2 linked regions of the Oreochromis niloticus genome follow. The protein of the gene in region 1 purifies or fractionates together with the protein of each later gene. This does not show direct contact. Links are inferred from orthologs where the notes say so. Each region holds a gene or a part of one and is shown in the gene's direction. Other genes may lie near its edges.

What was found. The genes of interacting proteins can lie anywhere in the genome.
Region 2: the proteins of tap1 (region 1) and tapbp.1 purify together in Homo sapiens (co-immunoprecipitation; 6 studies listed by BioGRID and IntAct, with this or other methods). This does not show direct contact. The link is inferred for Oreochromis niloticus from reciprocal best matches to the Homo sapiens genes TAP1 and TAPBP.

What each region holds. Positions count from the first base shown.
Region 1 is NC_031976.2:34,273,236-34,284,509, reverse strand, and holds the start of tap1 (antigen peptide transporter 1), read left to right. Parts: upstream 1-6,775; 5' UTR 6,776-6,914; intron 6,915-7,000; exon of another isoform or gene 7,001-7,168; intron 7,169-7,739; 5' UTR 7,740-7,751; coding exon 7,752-8,072; intron 8,073-8,941; coding exon 8,942-9,170; intron 9,171-9,925; coding exon 9,926-10,040; intron 10,041-10,393; coding exon 10,394-10,524; intron 10,525-10,706; coding exon 10,707-10,912; intron 10,913-11,046; coding exon 11,047-11,244; intron 11,245-11,274. Other genes in the region: notchl (neurogenic locus notch homolog protein 1), read right to left, coding at 73-124; uncharacterized protein LOC102078248, read right to left, coding at 1,015-1,934, 2,072-2,659, 3,496-3,645, 4,372-4,479, 4,812-4,857. UniProt on the Homo sapiens protein: ABC transporter associated with antigen processing. In complex with TAP2 mediates unidirectional translocation of peptide antigens from cytosol to endoplasmic reticulum (ER) for loading onto MHC class I (MHCI) molecules.
Region 2 is NC_031985.2:8,756,303-8,767,191, forward strand, and holds the start of tapbp.1 (tapasin), read left to right. Parts: upstream 1-6,852; 5' UTR 6,853-7,164; coding exon 7,165-7,225; intron 7,226-8,488; coding exon 8,489-8,683; intron 8,684-10,889. UniProt on the Homo sapiens protein: Involved in the association of MHC class I with transporter associated with antigen processing (TAP) and in the assembly of MHC class I with peptide (peptide loading).

The sequences.
Region 1 (11,274 bases):
AGCAGGTGGTGTGTTTCATGTAGGTTCAAAAGAAAAATAAAACTCTTCGAATGGGGAGGGGGGGTAACTCACCTTGACATGTCAAGCTCAGTGCCAGAAGAACAAACGTCCTCAGAGCTATCATCTTCAGGCCGTCCCGGTCACCAGGTGCTGGCCCCTTCTTCTCAAAAAGCCGTCCTCCAGTCCAGCTGTGTGGTATTACTCCACTACAAACTGCTTCTAATGTGCCAAAGCTCAGATGAGACTCTCTATTTCACGTACTGAAAAGACTCTGTAGCTCTTTCGTAGCTGCAGCCCGGCTGCTCACAATGAACAGTTAACTGTGAGTGAAGTCACCAAATCCCCATCACCGCTGCCACCAACACCTTCCAACTCCACCACCCAGCCCACTTTGTTCACTCGCTCTTTTTTCAGAGGGCCCTGCGGATATCTGGACAACTTCCTGCCACTGTGTGGAGAAGAAAAGGAAGGGCGATAACCATATGTGCACGTATTTGTGTGTATGCGTGTGTTTGTAATTCTTACTGTGACTCAGGGAGCTGCTGGGAGAGCCGTTACTTCATATTGTGCAAAAAGCTGCAGGGCGTGACGAGACAGCTTGGTTTGAATTTGATGATTTCACACATACACACACATCTGCGGAGTCCTAACAACTTGACTGTGACTGCTCTGCCTTTGAAAGAATTCTGTAAAGTGCTTCTGGTAGCTGTTCACATTTAATTCACAAAGGAAAATATCAACTTTGACACTTGAGTTGACTTTGACCTTTTACATCATACATATCGAAACGATAGAATAGCAGTTTTGGTTTGGTTTGCCAAATGATGCTCCGAATAACATGAAACAATCGGAGGCCTCAAAATGAACGTAGTGCTTAAATTGTTTCAGCTACAGCAAGACAACTACACTGCTTCAAGAAGTGCAAATATAAAAGAAGGATCCGCCATCAAGTCTCAAACAAACGGTGTATAATACAAAGTTGGTATTAACATGGTAACAAGCACCAACATTGGTCTACGGGTCACCGACTCTCTCAGGTTGTTGCCCTGGAGCTCCTCTTTCAAAGCAGCATTCCTCCCAAAGCTCATTAAACAAGTTTCCAGTTCCACCAAAAGAACAAGATTGGTCCTTTTTGGAGTCACACAATCTTAAATTCATTTTTTTAAACACAGCACAGAAAACCTGGCGTGAAAGCGGCGCTGTCTTCTGCTCTATGCAGTGGCTATAGTAGTACCTGTAGACCTCGGACATGTTTGAGAAGACTGGCTCCAGACAGAGCTTAGAGATGGACGTTCCACCACAGTAAGATGACACTTTTGGTAAACTTTCTAGAAACTCCTTCAGGACTATATGCTCTGAAGCTTTACGGGATTTCCTCTGCATTCGCTTTTTACTGTTCTCCTCCAAATTGTCTAGCTGGGAGGCATTCTGGGCCCAGTTAAGCACTGACCACTCTCCAATCCCCAAAGTGGAGAGGAACATTTTTTTGCAAACTTGTTTTTTATCGCCATCTGCTATCAAATGATATCGCATTGAGACTGATCTTCTAGACTGAGTCCACGGTGCACGGGTTCTTTCCACCGGATCACAGTCCACAAGCCCAGCCACATAGACCTTCCTCTGAGTCCAGTTCATACACTGCCAGAAACCAGTGAACAGCTCATTCCGCTTTTCCTCACTAAAGTCAGCACAAAAACGGTTCGATGCCCTTTTGCAGGCACTGGATGTGCATCTTGGCCCCATTGACCTCTGAGCTTTAGTAATAGTGGCGCCATCTTTCTTTCTCTTGCTGGTGTATGGTTTTCCCTCCATCCTGAGTTGCTTCTGACGATTTTGTTTCCATGTTAGTGGTTTAGCAACTCTGGATTTCTTTCGGATTGCCCCCTCTGTTTCTGGTGGCCTGTTTTTGTCTTTGTCAGTTGCATTCATGTGTTCTGTAAAAACATGGGAACCTTATTAACATGCACGTATCATTATTGAGATATACCTCATTGCTTCTGCCAAAAATTGTGTAAATCAGGTCTATGAGTTTATAAAGTAACTGATAAACAGTGAAAGAAAAAACACTCACCTTGAGTAACTAATGCAGTGTTGCTGTCTACAGGAGGGCCAGTCACAACTGGCTTTTTTTCTGACTTGCTTTTGTTTGATTCAGTCTTTTCTGTTGCTGTTCTATGTGCCCAGTTGAGCACAGACCACTCTCCAATCCCAAGCGTGGACAGGAACATGTTCTTACATACTTGTGTCCGTTTGCCATCCACCATCAAATGATAACGAAGTGACACCGATCTCCTTGAAGGCAACCCCGCAGCCCGAGATCTTTCCACAGGGTCACGGTCGACTTGTCCTGCTACATAGAGCTTTCTCTGAGCCCAGTTCATGTGCTGCCAAAATTCATTGAACACCTTCTTCCTTGTTTCTTCAGTAATTTCACCACATAGCCGATTTGTCGTTTTTTTGCATGCATCCGAAGTGCATCTTGGTCCTATGGCTCTTGGGTGTTTGGTTACAATCTCACCATCTTTCTTGCGTTTGCTTACATATAATTTTCCCTCCATCCTCAGCTGTTTCTGCTTGTTTTGCTTCCACTTTAATGGATCTGCAACTTTGGCTTTGGTTATTTTTCTGACAGCGCCTACTTTATCCAAATTAAGATGTGCTGTACAAACAGATCAAAAAAACAGAAAACAGAAAAACATCTTTGTTGTTATTTTTCATCGCTAGCACTGGAGGTCTGGGATTTTTCAGACTTCCAAAAAATATTTCAGCAGTGTTTAAATATCAGCATTTTACAGCTTTTTATTTAATTTCTGCAGAAAAATAACAAAAATGCACTTGAACATGTATAAGGACATTTAGTAACACTAAAAAATGTATAAAATATCTTATCTCGGAATTAAACCCTCAAAATCTTTTCTAAAAAATATTGGAGATATTTAATGGTCTTATTATTATTCTGATAGCACTCAAGCATTTCAATTGAATGTTCACAAAAATAACTTTTTATAAATAATAACTTTATGAATAAATGAAGATGTCCTTGTGTGACAGAAATATTTGTTAACAAAAATTATTTTCATGTCCATGTATATACCAGTTGTCCCCCACCATACATTACAAATCCATAATATACTTCTATTTAATTCCGTAATTTTTAATGACTTCTTCAAACTGTTGTTTTTCCAGGGGTAAAATAATTGTACTGAATACATCTTTATGACTTTAAAAAACAAGAACTGGATGCACAAGTTTGAATTTAGTTTATTTTTTGTTACAGTTCAATTCACAAATACCAGGCATCATGTATCACTATCACACAAGGACATTTTTATTTATTACTACCAGCCTAAACATCCATGTCATTTACATGGATGGTAATCATTAAAACTAGAGATGCACCAATAGGCACACAAACAGCAGCACAGGCAAATACTTGCATGCACACTTGTACATCCAAGTAAAGCTGGATGTACATTAACTCTTATTTGTACTTACGAGTGTCAGCACCCACAGGTGCTTGGTGATGTACAGGAAATTGGGAGATCATCTGCTGCTCACCTATTGTCATTGAGTGGGACCATTTTTTAACCACTCCATCTTTGTCCACGTCAGAGTTCCTGCTTGCATCACCGACATGCAGGTGGTCTGTGTAGAGAAACATACATTGTAACAAGCAGCAATGAGCTGACTGTCCAGAATTCTGTCAGCAGTAACTCTCCCCATAGTCTCCACATGTAATTGTGCACACATCAACAGCCTATTTTACATTGTTGTAGCTCACATTCATGTTCAGTAAATATGTCTGTTTGTATGAAGCTTTGTTTTGTTTTTAAATATACTCCATGTTTGCCTGTATCAATGGCTCTGTGGTTTATTGAGTCATTTATAGACCCAAAATTGAACTCAAAATGAGCTTTAATGTTGATTTTCCAGGTGATAAACTGTCCAGAATACACAAGACAAGTTACAAAAAATAGGACATTTATACATCTACATTATAAACACAAGGGCTACAAAGACAAGGAACAGGGAGCTGGAGGGATGAATCAATAAAGGCTAAAAACACAAGAGTATACAGAAATAACTCTAAAAAAAGAATATTAACAAAACACAGAAAAAACAAAACAAAGAACTGAAACCCCAGATACTCAGAAGCTACTAATCATCCGTAATCAAACAGACACTGACACTGACCCTTATGAACAAAAAGAATCATTTAAAAGTGTGAAATATTCAAGCAGTGACCAGAGTGGCCTGGGATTATGTTACATTTTGTGAATTATTGTTTAAGTCTGCCTCTGCTTGTTAGGTCAGGTGAATACCTGATATTTTTCACATTTCATTAAACATTGCATGAGCTCATATACCCACCTGGGGGGATGTGATGCTGCCCAAAAGTGTCAGGGACTGTGGGTCTGTGGACTGGGGTTTCGTGGGTGGGTTTGGGAAGGAGACCAATATCCTCCATTGCTGCAATGGCTAAAACATGAAAAAGAAAAGAATTATTATTGTATTTTACGATTGATTTTAAAATCGCATTTTCTCCAGCTATCTTTCTTTCCCCTCTTAAGACATCACTAAAAGCAGCCTGAAACCCCGTCAGTGCAGCTGTTTACTGTCCACAACAAACCCATGTGGCCAAATCCAGATGTTTTAGCTTACGTAGAAGTAGGCGTTGCTGGGCCTGAGAGTTACGGGAAAAAGCAGATCGAGAAGCTGTTCCTAACGCGGTATGTCTGGCTAAGCTCTTAACCCTTCATGCAGGCTGAAACCTTTAAAACGACACATTTCTGCCGTTCGTGTTTGCTTACATAGCGTTATACATTTGAAAACGTCTCGTAAACCCGTCGCTTCCATCCAGACCAGCTCCCAAATGTCCCCGCTGCCAACTGTTTACTCCATCGTGCCTCTGGCAGCGAAACTCCGCAGCAGTCAAATCAGTTAACTCGACTTTTATTTGGCTAAATGTTCATAACTGTAGGCTCTGAGGGGCTTCTCACAGGCAGCTGCCATGTCTGAGCATGCGCATCCAGGCTTTCCAGGGTACATACAAGTGACTTTATGGTGTGACAGTTTATAACAGAGATGCGAGCTCAGTTTCACAAATGTATGAATCACATATGTGTAAAGTTACGCCTTAATTTCATCCAAAGTGAAACAAAAATTAATATTATTGTTGCAAATCCCATAAGGTCTTCTGACACTATTCTAATGCAGGCCATCTATGCAAGTCTTACTGCAAGAATAATTTATATAATTCAATTCTGTGGTTACAAATAGATTCATTGCTTTAGTTTGCACTAGAAGAACAATAACAGCAATGTGCCTTACTACTTAAATGATTACTACTTTTTCATTTTTCAAATGTAGTGTCCCATACTGATTTTTAAATGAAAACTCTTTAATCAACCCACTTGCAGTTATGTATAGTGTTCCTGTTTTCAGTGCACACAATGTATTTGATTGTGCACTGAATTTAAAACGAGTGATATCTAACAACCTGTAAATATGCTTTTATATACTGAAAACTGCTATGAAAAAAGACAGTGTAAGAGCATCATTCTCCATAATAATAGGTCTAATAGGTCAACATAAGGATTCAAATTAGAAGTATTCAATGGCTGCTCTCAGCTCAATATTTTGAGTGATGGAACTAAATCTATTTACGATAGTAGCCTATTTTATTTACCATCTGTGGTTTGCACCATCGCCTCACAGCAAGAAAACCCTGGGTTCAAATCCATCACAAGGCTGGAGCTTTCCTGCATGGAGTTTGCATGTTCAAAACCCTGAATTGGATAAGCATAAGAAAATGAATGGATGGACTTGATTTTTTTCATTTAGTAAAGCGTGCTACTTTTGAACAGATTACTGTCGATTTAATTAACAGTTATGATTACTAGGTACTAGAAACTCTTCATTCCGTCCAAAATTAACCGCAGTGAACTACAGTATAAACATGCTGCATAAATTTTAAAGAAATAATTATCCCAAAAGTATGTTATATACTGCTGCAGTTGAAATTTCGAAAATAGTTTCCATTTCCCAACATAGAAACTAGAATACAGTAAAAACACAAAAAGGGATATTGTATTGACTGAATCCAGATTAAATTGGTTTAGAATTCTAAATTTTAACCTCAGGTTTTTTATGCAATAAAGGATAAATCTGTTGTTTTTTAAGTGCTGAAGTGTAAGAAGTTGGCTAAAGATGTATTTCATTGCTTTTCAAAATAAACAGCAAAGCAAACACATGCTTTGTGATTTACAGGGGTTTACAAAGAGGGTTCCTAAAATAGTAGGAACACTTTTAGCTTTGCTTTTTCCAGCCATCAAACCGGAAAGAAGGGAAAGGAAGGAAGCTGTCAGGGAGTTCAAAGTTTCTGTTGGGGGTTTCAGTGTCCAAGACCAGGCAAGAGACAACATGTGACTGTCAGCCAGGCAAATCAGGCAACTGCTTCTGTGAGATGAAAAGAGGAAGATCTCAGAGGAGGTTCATGTGGCTATTATTGTCTGAGTTTACACTCAGTCTAAACCAATAAAGATAATTAAACAATATGTATCAAAACTACATCACAAAAAAATATACATAGCTATTTAGTCTACTGTTGTTTCTGGGACCAGAATGCATGAATGAATGAATGAATATATGAAAGTACAAAAATATATATCCAAGCGATTTATGTAATTACTGTGATTCTAGCTGTTGTTCATTGGAGACGCTAGAGTCAAAAGCTCATGCAATTGTACCTCCTCGCCACATGGGGTCGCTGTTGGACTGGTTTTCATATCAGGCACATCCTATCAACTTTGCAGTGTTGGTGGCAGCAGGCACTCCACACACTGAAGTTATTCTTCAAAAACAAGTTTTCTGAGGAATAATGTTGAAATAAAAACGTCACGGTTTAAGTAAAGGTAAGTTTTGTTTGTCGTTGGTCTTCGGTAGGAGGACGTATGTGGGACTTTCCATTACCAAGGCTCTATAAATAGTTAGTTTCGGTTTCAGTTTTGCCAGTCACTGGTCGTCGGTTCGTGACTGAACAGGCTGCCGGTTTGTAGATATTAAATTAACGTTTTGAACTTGGTCTGAGGTTATATTCGACTTTTTCAAAGGTTTGCGACGTTCGTCGAAGCAAATTTGTCGTGTCGCAAAGAAACTGAGTAAGTAGGTAGGTTGGATTTAAGGGTAATTTTAACAGTTGCTATCCCCTGTAAATTCATGTAGTGTACGCTATCAATGCTGTTTATGATAATAGGTGTGAACATTTGCCATAATTGTTTGTATATGTGTGTGATGTTTGGTTTATTCACGGAGCCATTTCAAAGAAATCATCAGGGCAGCAGAAAATGAAAGTAAATGCGATCGGCAGCAAAGTGAAAGTAAATAGGGACCATTGTCTTTGAAAGGCATTCAAAATGTAGGCCTGGTGTGGAGGTAGAAGTGACCAGGTGTCCATTTTTATGTGCATCATGTTTGATCCGTCAGTCCCATCTACCCAACACATATAGACGTAATGTCCCTCTTCCAGGCGAAAAAGGAAATACTCTGGTGTACAAAGACTAGTGCATGGTGCGTTAAAACGTTAATAAATGAGTATAAGTTGAAAAAGTAAAAATACAATAGATTCTGTCAAAGATTGCCCACTGGTGACACATAGATCATCCGTATTTTATGTTTTTGCATGTTTGCATATTGTGCTGATATTAATACTCAGCTGTCTCTGTCATTTGTTTTTGCAGAGTGTGTGCGTAATGCAGAAGATGAGCTACTTTTTCCCGGTGCTTTGCGTGTGCCTGGATGTGTGTGTGGTGCACACCATCCGCCTGTCCCAACTCTCGCCTCTCCTGCTCTCCCATCCGTTCATCATCCTATGGGGAGGAGCCCTGACCAGAGCCTCCGTCCTTGCCTTCCTGGCCTTCACCTATCCTGGAAGCCTACCATGGACTAAAAGCTTCGAGGGGCTCCAGAGCTTAGGGGTCCTTTGCTTCCACTTCCCAGTGTACGCTACTCTTCTCTGGGTGCTTGGGCAGTCCACCATGGAGGAACTGTGGGGGTGGCACTCCTGGGAGAGGGTGAGTGTATGTGTTTTGTTGCCTGCCATGCTACAATATGTGCAACCTTGGTGAGCTGCAAGAAGGAAAATATGAAATCATTACCTAATGCACTTTGAGGGGACATATCTCAATAAGAAATTTGCTTTTTTACGTGCAAAAAGCTGTCTGTGAACTGCAGGATTCTTACTAGCTACTTTGAAGTTTAAAATGCGTTACACAAATCTTATGATAAGAGTTGCAGTTTATTGTTCTATATCAGTAACTTCTCCAGCAGCAGAAAGTTGTAAAAGTGCCAGTTAAAACTGCAGTATCAGTAACAACAATCAAATATATTAGATAATGAAAATATCAGGAGCATTTGGCTGAAATAAGAAGCATGAACACAAGTTAATGTATCTATAATCTATATTTTTTTATGCTATTTTTACTTGGAATGTTTTTACATTGTGTTACTGCTATTTGTGGCCACCTCCTTTACCACTGTTACTGGCCACCCTGCAGTTCTTCAGTTCTTCTTCTTTTGTTTCATGACAGAAAACCACTTAACAACTTTGTGACTACTGCCAGCATGGCTGGGATACACATAAATTGTTGCTTTCACATGTCTTAAGTCTGATCAGCAGACAAAACTCACATTTACAGATTAATATAATGAAAAAGTGAATCTAGTTTTGCTCTATATGTGTTTATTAGATTTCTAGTAGTAGATATCTCAGATAATTGAACAGCTTCCAGTGTAATTTAACTGTTTTTGAGCAGAAAAATAAAAATAATGTATAAAAGATACTCAGCCTGGAACAAGATCTGAAACCAAAACCAATTTATTTCATCTAAGCTAAATAAACAAATATATAATGGTTATATTAAACCTGTCCTTTGTCCTGCAGGTGTTACAGGGTTATATTGTGACAGTGGTGGCCTGGCTCTACTGGAGTCGGTATGTGTCATCTCTTTTGATCTCCTGGGGCCAGTACATTTCATCTTTTATTAAGAGGACACCATCTCAGAAGCCAAAAGAGGAGACTGGGGCCTCTCTGAAGAGACTGATGGGATACATGCAGCCCTTTTTCTGGCGCTTTGTTGCTGTGCTGATACTTGTCTTTCTCTCGTCTTATGGTATGTGAAATAACACCTTTGAAGTGGGGTCTGTTGTGCTTTTTCTTTATTTCCATCATATTTATAGTATTACAATGGTGTATATTCATATTAAACATCACCAGAGTGACAAATAATGAGGTTAGCATACGTGAAAGTAACGTCATGCTTCAGACTCTGTTTCAGATAGTTTTTTCTACTACTGACTCTGTATAATGTCATTGGGAGCTGATTTCCCCAACTTGGTCATCTGTGAAGAGAGAAGCTTCAGCCACCTGCTGTTCAAACATTCTGTTTAAAGAGAGGGGGAAGGGTGATAAATGTGCCCGTTCCAGACAGTGAATAACCTAGAGGGTTGTATTAAGGCCCAGTATAAGATAAATAAGGATTATTTTGAACTTTGAATCATGTGTGGAGCTCCTTTAGTAGAGTCCAAGAATATCAATCTGGAGCCTAAATTGTAATATGCCTCTTTTCGTTTAAATTAAAGCGTGTATGTCCTTCTTGCCACTACAGTGTTTTGAAATTATATCCAGTAGTTATCATTGTGTTCGTGTCAGTGTCCTCATGCTGTTAATTTAAGTATAGGAAAAAAGGTCTTGTTTTCTGCAGCACTAGCTGCATATCTGTAATAATGCCAGCAACATGAAACCGTAATTGTAGGCAAATAAAGAAATGTAATCACAGTCCACTGACGCTGCTGAGTGTAAAAGTTAACCTGGCAGTTGGGCTTTGCCAAAGATCAGTATGGTGATAATGTTAACACCTGCTTTCAGGTGAGATGGCTATTCCTCAGTACACTGGACGCATGGCTGACTGGATCATGAATGAAGAAGCACCTGACGCCTTCACAGAGGCCATTACAATCATGACACTAATGACCATTGCCAGGTAATATAACCTTTGTCTTCTTTGGTTATTAAAGTTGGTTTTTAAAGGTTCTCTCTGTTTACTAATGCAGAACGATTTAATTAGAATAAATAAAAAACATGTAATCTGTTTGCTAAAAATTTCCGGGAGTTTTTATTTTTTAATACTCGGAAATGAACTGAAAGAGTGTTGTGAGGATGGTCAACGTTAACCTAGGATGCTTTTTACACCCGAGCTCCTCCTCCAACCCATGTAGTGTAGTTTCAGTCAATTCTGATATGTGTACAACAGAAGCTTAACAAAAGCTTAAGGATATGGCTGTAATAATATTTTATGTACTTTTAGTGTAACTCTTTCTCTGCTTTATGTCTCAGTGCTGTGCTCGAGTTTATATGTGACCTCACGTACAATATCACCATGAGCCGCATACATACCTCGGTGCAGGGAGTCGTCTTCCAGGCCGTGCTGAAACAGGAGATTGCTTTCTTTGATGCCACTTCAACAGGTAAATTATGTACAAACTGTATACAAGATTAATGTTTCATTAATTAATAACTAAAACCCTAAAGGCCAATCTCAGTTTCCTCTTAAAAAGTTTTGTGAACTTGTTACAAATAATCCAGAAAAAAGAAGTATATATACACTTAAAATGTGATCCCTTTAAGAAGACTCATGCTGTACTGTTAGGTGAACTGGTGTCACGGATTACCACTGATACCAACAGCGTGAGTGAAGCTCTGAGCGAGGAGCTGAGTCTTCTGATGTGGTACACGGCACGTTTCGGCTTCCTCTTGTTCTACATGGTGAGCCAGTCATGGAAAATGACGCTGCTCACATGCATGGGGCTGCCCATCATCTGGGTCATACCCAAGCTCACCGGACGCTTCCACCAGGTGATGTGAAAAATTTAGCTTTAATTACTTGTTCATCAGCTCTCCTCTGATCAGTTACATTAGTGACGAATCAATAAGGTGTGTCTTGATTTACTGACTCAAACTCCATAGTTTAATTTTTCATTATATTTCAGACTATTGCTGTGCAAGTTCAAGAGTCACTGGCAAAGGCTAACCAAGTGGCCACAGAGACCTTCTCAAACATGAAGACAGTGAGGAGTTTTGCCAATGAGGACGGTGAGACAGAGAAGTACAGACTGCGCCTGGAGGACACTTACGCCCTTAATAAAAAGGAGGCAGCTGCCTATGCGGCTTCTACCTGGGCTAACAGTGTGAGTTGAACACTGATCCATGTTACAGAG
Region 2 (10,889 bases), on another chromosome or scaffold:
TGTTAGGATGGAAACCTGTAGCGTGGCAGAAGACTGGAGAGGAGGAAGACTTCTGGAGGAGAAAGACTGATGGAAGAACTGGAGAGAGAGAGAGAGAGAGACTACCTCATTGACTATATACTCCTTTTATTTCAATCATTTCCAACACTATTTGGGCTTCTTTAAAAAAATCAACAACAACATCAATAACATAAAAAAACAAAACTGAACACCATCCATATGAAGTCTTCTGCTTCAGAATTAACATTTCAGAGTAGAGTTGATGAAGGAATCTTCATGAACACTTCTAGGCTTGCAAAGACTTGAGTGATGTTGGAATTTGTATCATGTTTACGTTATACTTCATGCAGCCCAAATTTGAATCTTAACTCTATTGCAGTCTTCTGTGGAGTAAGCTTTTACAAACTACTTAGACAATAAAGAATTTTCTACATTTTTGTAATACATGTTAATTTTGAGTCCTTTGAATGCATGCACAGAAAATTATAAAAGCAGTACAAGACTGAAGGTATTGTAAATGTATATCTATAGCACCAGTCAAAGCACACAAACTAGTTCACAAACTTCATATGTTAGATTCTGTCCTACACACCTACTAACTATCCCCACATTAATTAACTGCATTTAAATATTATATTTTAGGATTAGTATGTCCCCTCTTCAACCACATTAAGATATATTTATGGTTAATTTCCCCTTTGATCATTTAAATTTCTGCAAAATCACCTTGTAAACCTTGTGTAAAATTACCTGTCGTAAAATTGTTAAAGTGATTTCCCAGAATTTGAAACTGAAAAAGTCTGTGTAAATCAGATTATTCTACCTGTTCTCTTCAGGCTATGCCGACCGTAGTACACATATTTCTGCAGCCACTCAATACAGTCCTGAGTTAAGTAGTGTTTCGTCTGTGTATTCCAATCAGCATCATGATCCCACTTGTGTTTGGTGATGACAGCCTGTTCTTTTGGAGCAATCCACGTTTCTGTGTTCAGATCAAATATAATAAAATCTTTTCCATCATAGCCATACTGATGATATAATGTCTTTAAACTCGTCGTCCCATTCACACCCATACATCAACTGGAAAACGTGGATACCTAAAAAAAAAAAGAGAACACATAAAATCAGTGATCCTGTATGAGGTAATAACGCATATACATAGGGGGCATATTTTTTTACAAACAGGCAAAAAAATTTGTAGTGTTGAGCTTATACACAACCACTGAATTTTAATTCAATCAATCAAACTGTGATTGATGTGCAGACTTTGAACTTTGTTTTAAATAGTTTTATCAAAATTCTGCATCAACTGTTTAAGAATTACAGCTATTTTACTACGCAGTCCCTCATTTCCAGAGGCTCAAAAGTTGTGTCAGAAACAGCATCTGATCTCACACCTTTAATGTGTGTGTTAAACCCATCTGTGTTTCTTTCAGGGGTGTGAGTGAAGAAAATACTTTGACAATGAGAGGTAACTTAATAAAAGCATGTTAATGGATAGAAATGAGTGGTGTACTGTACAACAAAGAAAATAAACTGAGATTAATCATGAAATAAAACCTTGAGTTTGGTTGAAGCGTTGCTTTGCTGTTTCAATGTTGTTTCTGAACACCTGCAGGGTGTTATTCAGTGCTTTAGTCTCTGTATTCCAGTACTGTGTGTTATTTTCTGTGACTTTCTTCATCCAGTCCTGTTTGGGCACAGCTCTCCTGGTGTTATTGTCATAGTGAATTATCTCAACTTCATCAACCATCCCAACAACCACAAACTCTGGGAAGTTTGGCACCCCAGAAGATCCAGTGTAGAAATACTGTAGGAAGTGAGTCACTGCAAAACAAATGATGTAATTGTTTTTTTAATTCAATATTTTGGCTTTTTTTAAAAAAAAAAAAATAGCACTACAAACTAAAAAGATAATTCAACTAATGAACAATATTCAGCCAATGACAGCTACTACTACACCAACTACTAATACTACACTCACTGGCCACTTCATTAGGTACACCTTGCTAGTATCAGGTTGGATCCCTTTTTGCTTTCATGTCATAGATTCAACAAGGTGCTGGGAAGATTCCTCAGAGATTTTAGCATCAACACACTTTCATCATGTGGTTCTTCTGCTTCTCAGCATCCTAAAGATACTCTGTTGCAGGGGTGTCTAACATAAGGCCTGGGGGGTAAAATTGGCCTAGCAATGACTCCAGTCTGGCCCATTCAATGGCTTTGGAAAATGTGAAGGAGAACAGAAATGTTGTGTTTTTAGTTGTATTTTGGTATGTTTTAAGCTTCTTCTACTGATAAATGTGTAATTTCACTAATTTATTTTTTAAAATGTAAGCCCAAGGAGTCATGGTGACAGATTTCTTTCTGTTGAAACAGCACTTCATTTTTTATAGAAGATATGTAAGGCATTAAACATGTAATTAAGTTTCTGCAGATTGGTAGAAACTGTCATTTCACTGGTCTGGCCTACATAAACTTAAAGTGGACTGTATGACTCATGGACACGAAAATAAACTCAAACTCAGCTTAATTGCTGGACCAGAGAAAATGCAAACTGAACTAAATACACAGAGAGACACGCAGCCATGAAGCGCGAGGGAGATCGTAACGCAGGGCAGAGGGAGACACACAAGGGAAAATGAGGGGAAAAGCCACAGGAACGTGATCTAACTAACCAGACAGGAGGAAACAAAACTGAATATGATGCACATCAGACAGGAGACTATCAAATTAAAACAGGAAGTACTGAGACGCAGCAATTCACAACATAACATGGTAACTGGGAGGAAAGAACACTCAGGGAAATGAGATGGATTAGGGAGATAACTGGAGGAGACAACGAGGGGGACACGGCAACAGTTAAGGGAGAGGAGACACAGAGAGAGTGTCATGGTCCTGAGTCCGTGACTCAGTGATTTTGTGTTTGGTGTATTTATTGTTGTTATTATTATTATTTTCATTATTTGTGGGCTGTTTTGGGATGGTTTGTGTTTTGGATACTGGGTTTCTGGGTTTGTGCTGACTCTGTTGGTCCCTGGTGTTAGTGTTCCCCTGTCTCGTCAGGTTAATCAGGTCAAGCTGTGTCTCCCACCTGTGTGTGATTTCCCAGTGTCCCTCTGTGTATTTATAGTGTGTGTTTGCCTCTGTTCCTCGTCGCGTCGTCTGTGTTCATCCTCTGTGTTCATCCTCTGTGTTACCCTGTGTGCTCTGCATTGCTCCGTTAACCTCTCCGTGACTCCACTATGTGCTCTCCTCGCAGTCTTCCTCTCGTGTTCAGGTTTGCCGTTCTATAGTTTAGTTTTCCCCAGTTTAGTTTATCCTTAGTTCTGTTTTGCCATCCCCACTTTGTGTTCTGTATTCTTAATAAACCACCTTCACATCTTAGTAAGTGCTGCATTTGAGTCCTCCTTTCCACTCATCACACGGCTGCTGCCCCAGTCGTGACAGAGAGAGGTAGCGAGGAAGGGCGGGGAGGGAGTGAGGGAGCGAGAGAGCGAAAGGAGAGACATGACGGGCTGGGGAAACGTAGATAAATATAATCGACGGGGGGGGGGACATGGAATGAAACAAAGAGGGGAACATGGGAATAGAAGAATGAAACAAGACACAATGTCATGGTCCTGAGTCCGCGGACTCAGTGATTTTGGTTTGAAGTATTATTATTATTATCGTCGTTGTTGTTGTTGGTAGTAGTATTTGTGGACTCGTGTTCTTGCCTTGGGATGGTTTGTGTTTTGTGATTTTCTGGGTTGGTGCTCCCTCTGTTGGTTCCTGGTGTTAGTGTTCCCCCTGTCTGGAAAAGACTGGATCTGGATCTGGAAAAGTCATGCAGGTGTTTCTGTCCTTTTTGAGTCCTGGCAAGTATTTTTAAATTCTTATTTACTTGGTACTATTTTACCATGTACTATGTCTTTCTGGAACATGCTCCAAGTTTAATCCTGGGGTGTTGCAGCAAGGGATAATCTGGGGAGAGTTAACTTGAACTCTAAGTTGGTTACTGTGGCAACAGGTCCATCATACACAGTTCAGCAGTTTAATGTCTGGCAAAGTACAAGGGCTGGCCCCTTTGTTGCAAAACTGCATAAATCTGAGGGTTTCCATGACTCAATTTATTTTATGTTAGTGACTGTTTAGTTGGCTCCTTTGCCTTTTTCCCCCAGCATTAAAGCTGTGACTTTTAGCTCAGTTCTGTGTTGCAAAGTCATTTTTGGGCCCACAAATCTTCCTGTCAAACACCTACATATATGACAGACCATGTTTTTCAGCAGACTGAACCAGAGGATGAGAGACATGATAGCACCATACTTACACTGTAATATTTTTTTCAATTTAAAATTAAAGCAGAATAGATTTAATTTTTTTTAATGAACAAAGAAAGTGCTTGCATAATCCAGGTTTGATGTTTAATCTGTTAATTTGTCTGCATTTATTATATTTGCAAAGTGTGAGGAAGTAAACTTAGAAGAGGTAAACTTAGATGAGGTAAACTTAGAATAAAGACCTGTTTATTTCTCCTGAATTGGTGCCACATTTGTTAGGAAAATGAATCATGTTGTCACAGAAGACTTTACACTGAAAGCACCTCTGCAGTCTCTTCTCTTGGTGTATTTAAATGGCAAATAGACAAACGCCTATCATTCACTCTTATTTTATAATGTAATTATTTTATACAGATGGAAATCTTTATACGTATGATATCTATGCTCTACATGCTCCAAGTTATATAGCTTGGTCATCTTTTGATTAGAATCTTTTAATTCTTCTATAATCATAGGTAACACATATGTTGTCACCTGTTTCCTTGTGTCTATCAGACAAACCCTGCTGCGGCTTTTCTGGGGCCCGTTCTTCGTACCTCGCTAAGTAAGTTAGCCGGATTTGAATGTTGACGATTTCGCGTGATCTTGGATCGTTCGGTTCTCCGAAGCTCATCTGGGACTTGCTGTCATAGCAACAGATCCGTAAGCGTAAACCTGCTCGGGAGCAGGCTTACTTTATGTAAACAGGATTAGATCGCGGCCTCTCAGGTATGTCCGCTGCAGTTATATGAAAGCAAGAGCGATATTTCGCCACTGTTTTACCATAAATAAATATCATCAATGTAACTAAAGATAATGTATTTGATTCTTTTATTGATTTCATACAGATACATACAGGTCATTTCCTAAAAAAAGGGAAATGTACTATTAATCATTCTATTACATGTAGTAGATCATGTCAGATGTAATTCATATTTTAGAGTAGTAATAGTAAATTACTACGTGCAATCAAGATGAGAGACCACGACTATAAAAGCGAAGGTGGATTTGGGAAGTCTGTCGCAGCCATGTCCTGTCCGTTTGTACGCGAGCAATATACTTACTCCCGACTTACTGTGCATGGCTCAGTCACCCGTTGCATGGGAACAGGTAAAAGTGATGGAGTGTTATGTCAAACTACACACAAAAAACCCACAATGTCAATAAATGTCACAGTACAAAAAGGGGTGTGACGAGGGGGTGCAGGACCACCACCTGTCTTTATTTGCTCTGCCCTTTTCTTGGTTGCTGTTATAAACAAACAAACAGATTATTCCAGGGTCTCTTCTCATAGACTAAAAGCAATATAAGTGATAAATATTACCATTCTGTGGAATATTCTTATATTTCACTTTTACTTTTTCCCATGTTCTAGTGGGTCCTGTTGTGGCTCTAATGTGAAAGAGGATATGATGTAATATAATATAATGTGGTATAATATAATATCACATGATATAATGTAATATCATGGATCACTTACGAGTTTAATTTGTCAGCAACTTTCTGCCAGCCCTCTCTCCTTGCTTTTGCAGCCTTTGCAGTGTTCCCTTGCGTTTTAATTAAACTCTGAAACTCCTGATATCCCTCAATCAAGAGTTCTTGGTCTGCTGCCGTGAAATACTGTGCGCGCTCCTTCGACATCTTCGCCGACCAATCACAGGGTTGCCGATCAGTGTTTCTACTATCGATGCGTAGCCCCTTTTAAGCCACCCAGTGATCTCAGATTACTTCATCCAGCTATACTAATCGTCAACAACAGGTGTGTTCGGAGAACCGGATTAGCGAGCTCAAAGTTAGCGCGATGATTTGATCTTGGATGTGTCATTTGATCTTGGATGTAGTAAGCGAGGTACGAAGAACGGGCCCCTGGTGTGACTTTGATGCAAACAATGAGGAAATCACATCAGTTAAAGCTACAGTAGCAAGCCTCACTAATTCTGTTGGTGGTGTTTTGCAGAAAGGTCAGTCACAGTGTTAGAGCTCCACCACTGGACTCAAACGGCACTCCATCTCCACTTCTTTCTGTGAAACCACGTGATCACTCTGTTAAGTTTCGTTTTAGGCTGTTATCTAATATATGTGTGCCAGGACGTTAAGGCTTCTTGTCTGACTTGTTCTGCAACGTTCCTGCAACAATAAAGAAGTGAAACAATCAATTATTAACATCAAAATTTTAGACAGGTCAGAAGGACATACATATAAAAATAAAGTGTACAGCTAACTTTTAATCTGTAAAGAACAAGTTACTAAACTCATACAGAAAAGTAATTTACCATGAATTCTGTATGCATTAAAAAACATAAATTAAAAAAAAGAACTTCTATTACTAAAACCAAGGCCTATACACTCAGTATGCTGCTACTACAATATAAAAACAAAGGCTGTGTGTTTAGATTTAAGACTTTTTATTTTTTCTGTTTCTCTTGTCCTCATCTGACCCCTGCCCTCAGACTGGGTTATCTTTCTGATGCCTTGCTGCCACTAACGTAGCACGTTACTCCACAGTTTGCCTTTGGTTTATTTTTAGCCAGAGGGCGCCATCTAGCGGTGGGATGGCAGTACTCCTGAATGCAATTTTGAAGACGTATTCTTTTAAGCTACTGTAAAATCTTTGTTTTTAGGCTTCCAGTTACTTTAATTTTCCAGATACACATTCACTCTCATGTCAGCTAATCCTGATATATTATAAACTTATGGCGTGTTTTTGTGTTTTTCCTGGATAACTGTCGGACTCGTCTGTATGTGAAAGCGAAACTAAACTTGATCTCGTACTTGAAGGGGAAAACCAGCCAACTAAACCTTGTTTAGTCCGTTTGGTTGCAGCTAAACGAGGGTATCTGTCTGTGAGGAAACACGGATAAACATGACGGAATTATCTACCATCTATAAACTGTCTCTGATCGCCGTTACCTGCTTTATTCAAGGTAAGCTAGTCGAGCTCATTGTTGCTCTGCTGGTCTGACAGACAAAAATACATCTATGCATGCTGTATTACTAATATTATAAACCGTACATGTAAGAAAAACCTTTTTTATATGCATGGAAGTCATCTATCTGTTCAGTAACATCAAAAAGTTGCAAAACAGCTGGTTGAAAATGTCCAAACCAACTTGGACTATAACGTCACGTTTAACTAAACATAGTAAAGTTCATATTTGATGACCCTTTTAAAGCCGAATTTAAAATAATGCCCAAATGCGTCTTAAAACATGTAAGTGAATGTTATAGGTGTATGCATGATTACGTTTAACAAAAATAACCGAAATTTAACACGCCTATTTTCGTGCCAAAAACGTGATCGTCTGTCCAAAAGTGATTTCCGGTATTTGCCGAAAAGTGATCATCTATATTTAAACTGCTGTAAATTACTTGTTGACCATTAATATGTGAAAGAACGTAGAAGCTGCAATCACTTTCTGGCAAAGTTATCCTACATTTAACCAGTTAAAAAGTGTCACGGACATTAAAAACGTCTTCTTTTAGAGGCATATGGCCATATGGCCATATCGTATATGAAAACTACAACAAATATAACAACAGTTAAATAAAGATATTTTAAAAGGCCAAAAAGGTCTGAATTGGTTACGAAGTAGGTACAATAAAACAATTAAAAAAAACAAGAGTCATAAAGATACTCTTTGTTTTACATGTTACCCCTTTGTAAATCCTGCTGACTATAGTCTACAGTATTTAGAAATACAATCACCAATACCTGAAATCACAAATTGAAGCAGTGCTGTCTTCACTTTAGTGATTAAGACTGTGCACAGGAAACAGCTGGAGACTTAATTTTCTGGGAAAGGTAGATGGGCTGCTGCCTGTTTGCTAAATGAAAAATCAAAAAAAAAAAAAAAGGAGGGGAATAAACCAAAAGCAAAACACTGAAGGGGTGGAAACAGTTAAGTACAATATTTATGGGTTGCCAGACAGAACTGGACTTTTACTTTTACTTTTAGCTGTGATTTTAAACTGGATCTCATGAAACATATTACACTTGTTTTAACTTTCTGTTTCAATAATAATTCCTATAACTGCCTTGTTTATTGGTTGAGCTTGAAAAGACAGTTAGCACAACAATAATTTTCTGAGTGCATGATGTCGGGAAACATAATGGCATAATATAATGTGGTCTGATATTTACAGAGATTTTACTACCCATTAATCTCCTGTTAAACTTTTGTCTGAAGCCTGCAGCAGCAGCAGCTGTCCGGTGTTGGAGTGCTGGTTTGTGCAGGAGAAGGCAGGACGAGGAGGAGGTTTAACTGGAGCTACGACCCAAGAAAAATCCCTGCTTCACATCAGAACTGAAGAAGACGGACAGAATGACGAGTCCCAGCGGGCTCCTAAAGACATCAACCCCGAAAGAGTCTACTCTGTGATCGGTTAGTTAAAAATGACAGAGAAGAAGATGTTTAACCACACATGTGTCTGGATGTTGGAGAGAGAGAGTGTACAGTGTGCACTCTGCTATTTTACATTCACCTGTGTGGGCCTTTGTGCGTGTATTTAAAGTTAGTGTGGTCAAATTATTTGAATACAGAATCAGCAGAATGAGTAAAATACAATCCAGCTTAGTTAAATAAGTTCTGTAGCTTGATAAAAGTCACATTTTATCAGAGTTTAGGTCCATTTTTCTTCTCCTCTTATCTGGATGCATTAAATCTGGTTGAGTCCCAGTATGTCTGAACCACGGCTAATAGATTATACCACTGCTAAAGCCTGAGGCAGATACTTAACGTCCAACATGACAATGAAAATAGCTCAGTTAACATAGAGGAGTCCTTTTTGCATAAAATGACTGAAAACCATAATTATTTACATGGAAACATTTTAGATGATCTGCCGAAAATAAATGAAATGGTACGGCCGAAACAGTCACACTAACATTTCATCATCTATGATGGTTCCATTCCTTCGCTGTAGCATCATTTTGATAAGTCACAGCAAAAATCCCACTGATGGAAAAATAGTCATTCAGTATCATCATCATCATCATCATCATTTATTTATATAGCACTTTAAAAACACACCTGGTAGACCAAAGTGCTGTACAATACTAATATGCACATAGTAATAAAACCAGACAGCAAAAAAAAAAAAAAAAAGTCAGTTACCCACAGAGTTAAAAGCCAGGGAATAAAAATAGGTTTTTAATAAAGACTTAAAAACTGGCACTGATGTAGCCAGTCTAATATGGAGAGGAAGGTTATTCCAAAGCATCGGCGCTGCTACAGAGAGCGCTCGGTCTCCTCTAAGTTTCAGCCATGACTTTGGGACCGAAAGCAACACAACTGCTCAGCTGATCGAAGGGAACGAATGGGGACATGGGGCTTCAACAAGTCAGACAAATAAACAGGTGCCAGACCATTTAGAGATTTAAAACAACACGTTCTCACTCCCAAAGCGTAACATTTTACGCTAGGTGACAAATCGTCAACATATTACGTTTTCGGCTACCCACCACGTTCCTAAATGACGACCTCGGAAAAATGAGGAAATGTGAGAACCATCTGGACTCAATCTACACATGTTCACTCTTTTTCTTCAAATCGCTTAGAAACACGCTATTTAACATCATTAAAGTCCTGGTTAAGGTCAGGAATAAGGTTATGGTTAGGGTTAGGGATAAGGTTAGGTTTAGGGCTGGAATACAGGGCTGGAACGTCTATTACCGCGGGAGCGTCATTGCACTGGATTTCAGCCATAACCCGCCGCGTACCATAAGAACGCCGAAGGTCTCCTTTCGCGTTCCTCAGGAACGCCGCGGGACGTGACAAAATGTCAGCATGTTACGCCTCGGGAGTGAGAACGGGCTGTTTAAAAAACAATAAAAGGACTTTAAAACGGGTCCTAAATTCAATTGGAAGCCAGTGTAGAGAGGCCAAAATCGGAGTGATGTGATCAAATTTCCTTCTGCCAGTTAAAAATCGTGCCGCAGCATTTTGCACTAATTGCAAGCGTGACAAAGTGCCCTGCCCAACCCCTATTAAAAGAGAATTGCAATAATCTAAACGTGAGGTAATAAAGGCATGAATAACACATGAATAACAAGAAAAGAAAGGGCTTAACCTTCGTTAAACGTCTGAGGTGATAGAATGCTGATTTTACCACCCCGTTTACGTGGTCATCAAAGGTAAGTGCAGAATCAATTTTAACTCCGAGATTTGTGATCGAACTCTTTAGTTGGGAAGTCGAAGCTGCAAGATCAACATCTGGAGTATGAGAAAAACGATTTGGGCCAAATAAAATCGCTTCTGTCTTCCGATCATTAAAATTTAAAAAGTTTTTTGCCATCCATGCTTTGACATCAGTAAGGCAGTCAAGCAGAGGTCGACTTGGGAGACTATCAGAATGACTAAAAGGTAAATAGAGCTGGCAGTCATCTGCATATAGATGGAATGGCACTTTATGTTTTCGGAAAATCGCGCCAAGAGGCAAAAGGTACAGTGAAAACAATAACTGTCCAAGAATAGATCCCTGTGGCACACCCCAAAGCAGAGGGGCCACAGAGGATGAAGCCGACCCCAACTTAACACAAAAGGTCCTATTTAAGAGATAGGACTTTAACCACAAAAGTGCCGAACCAGA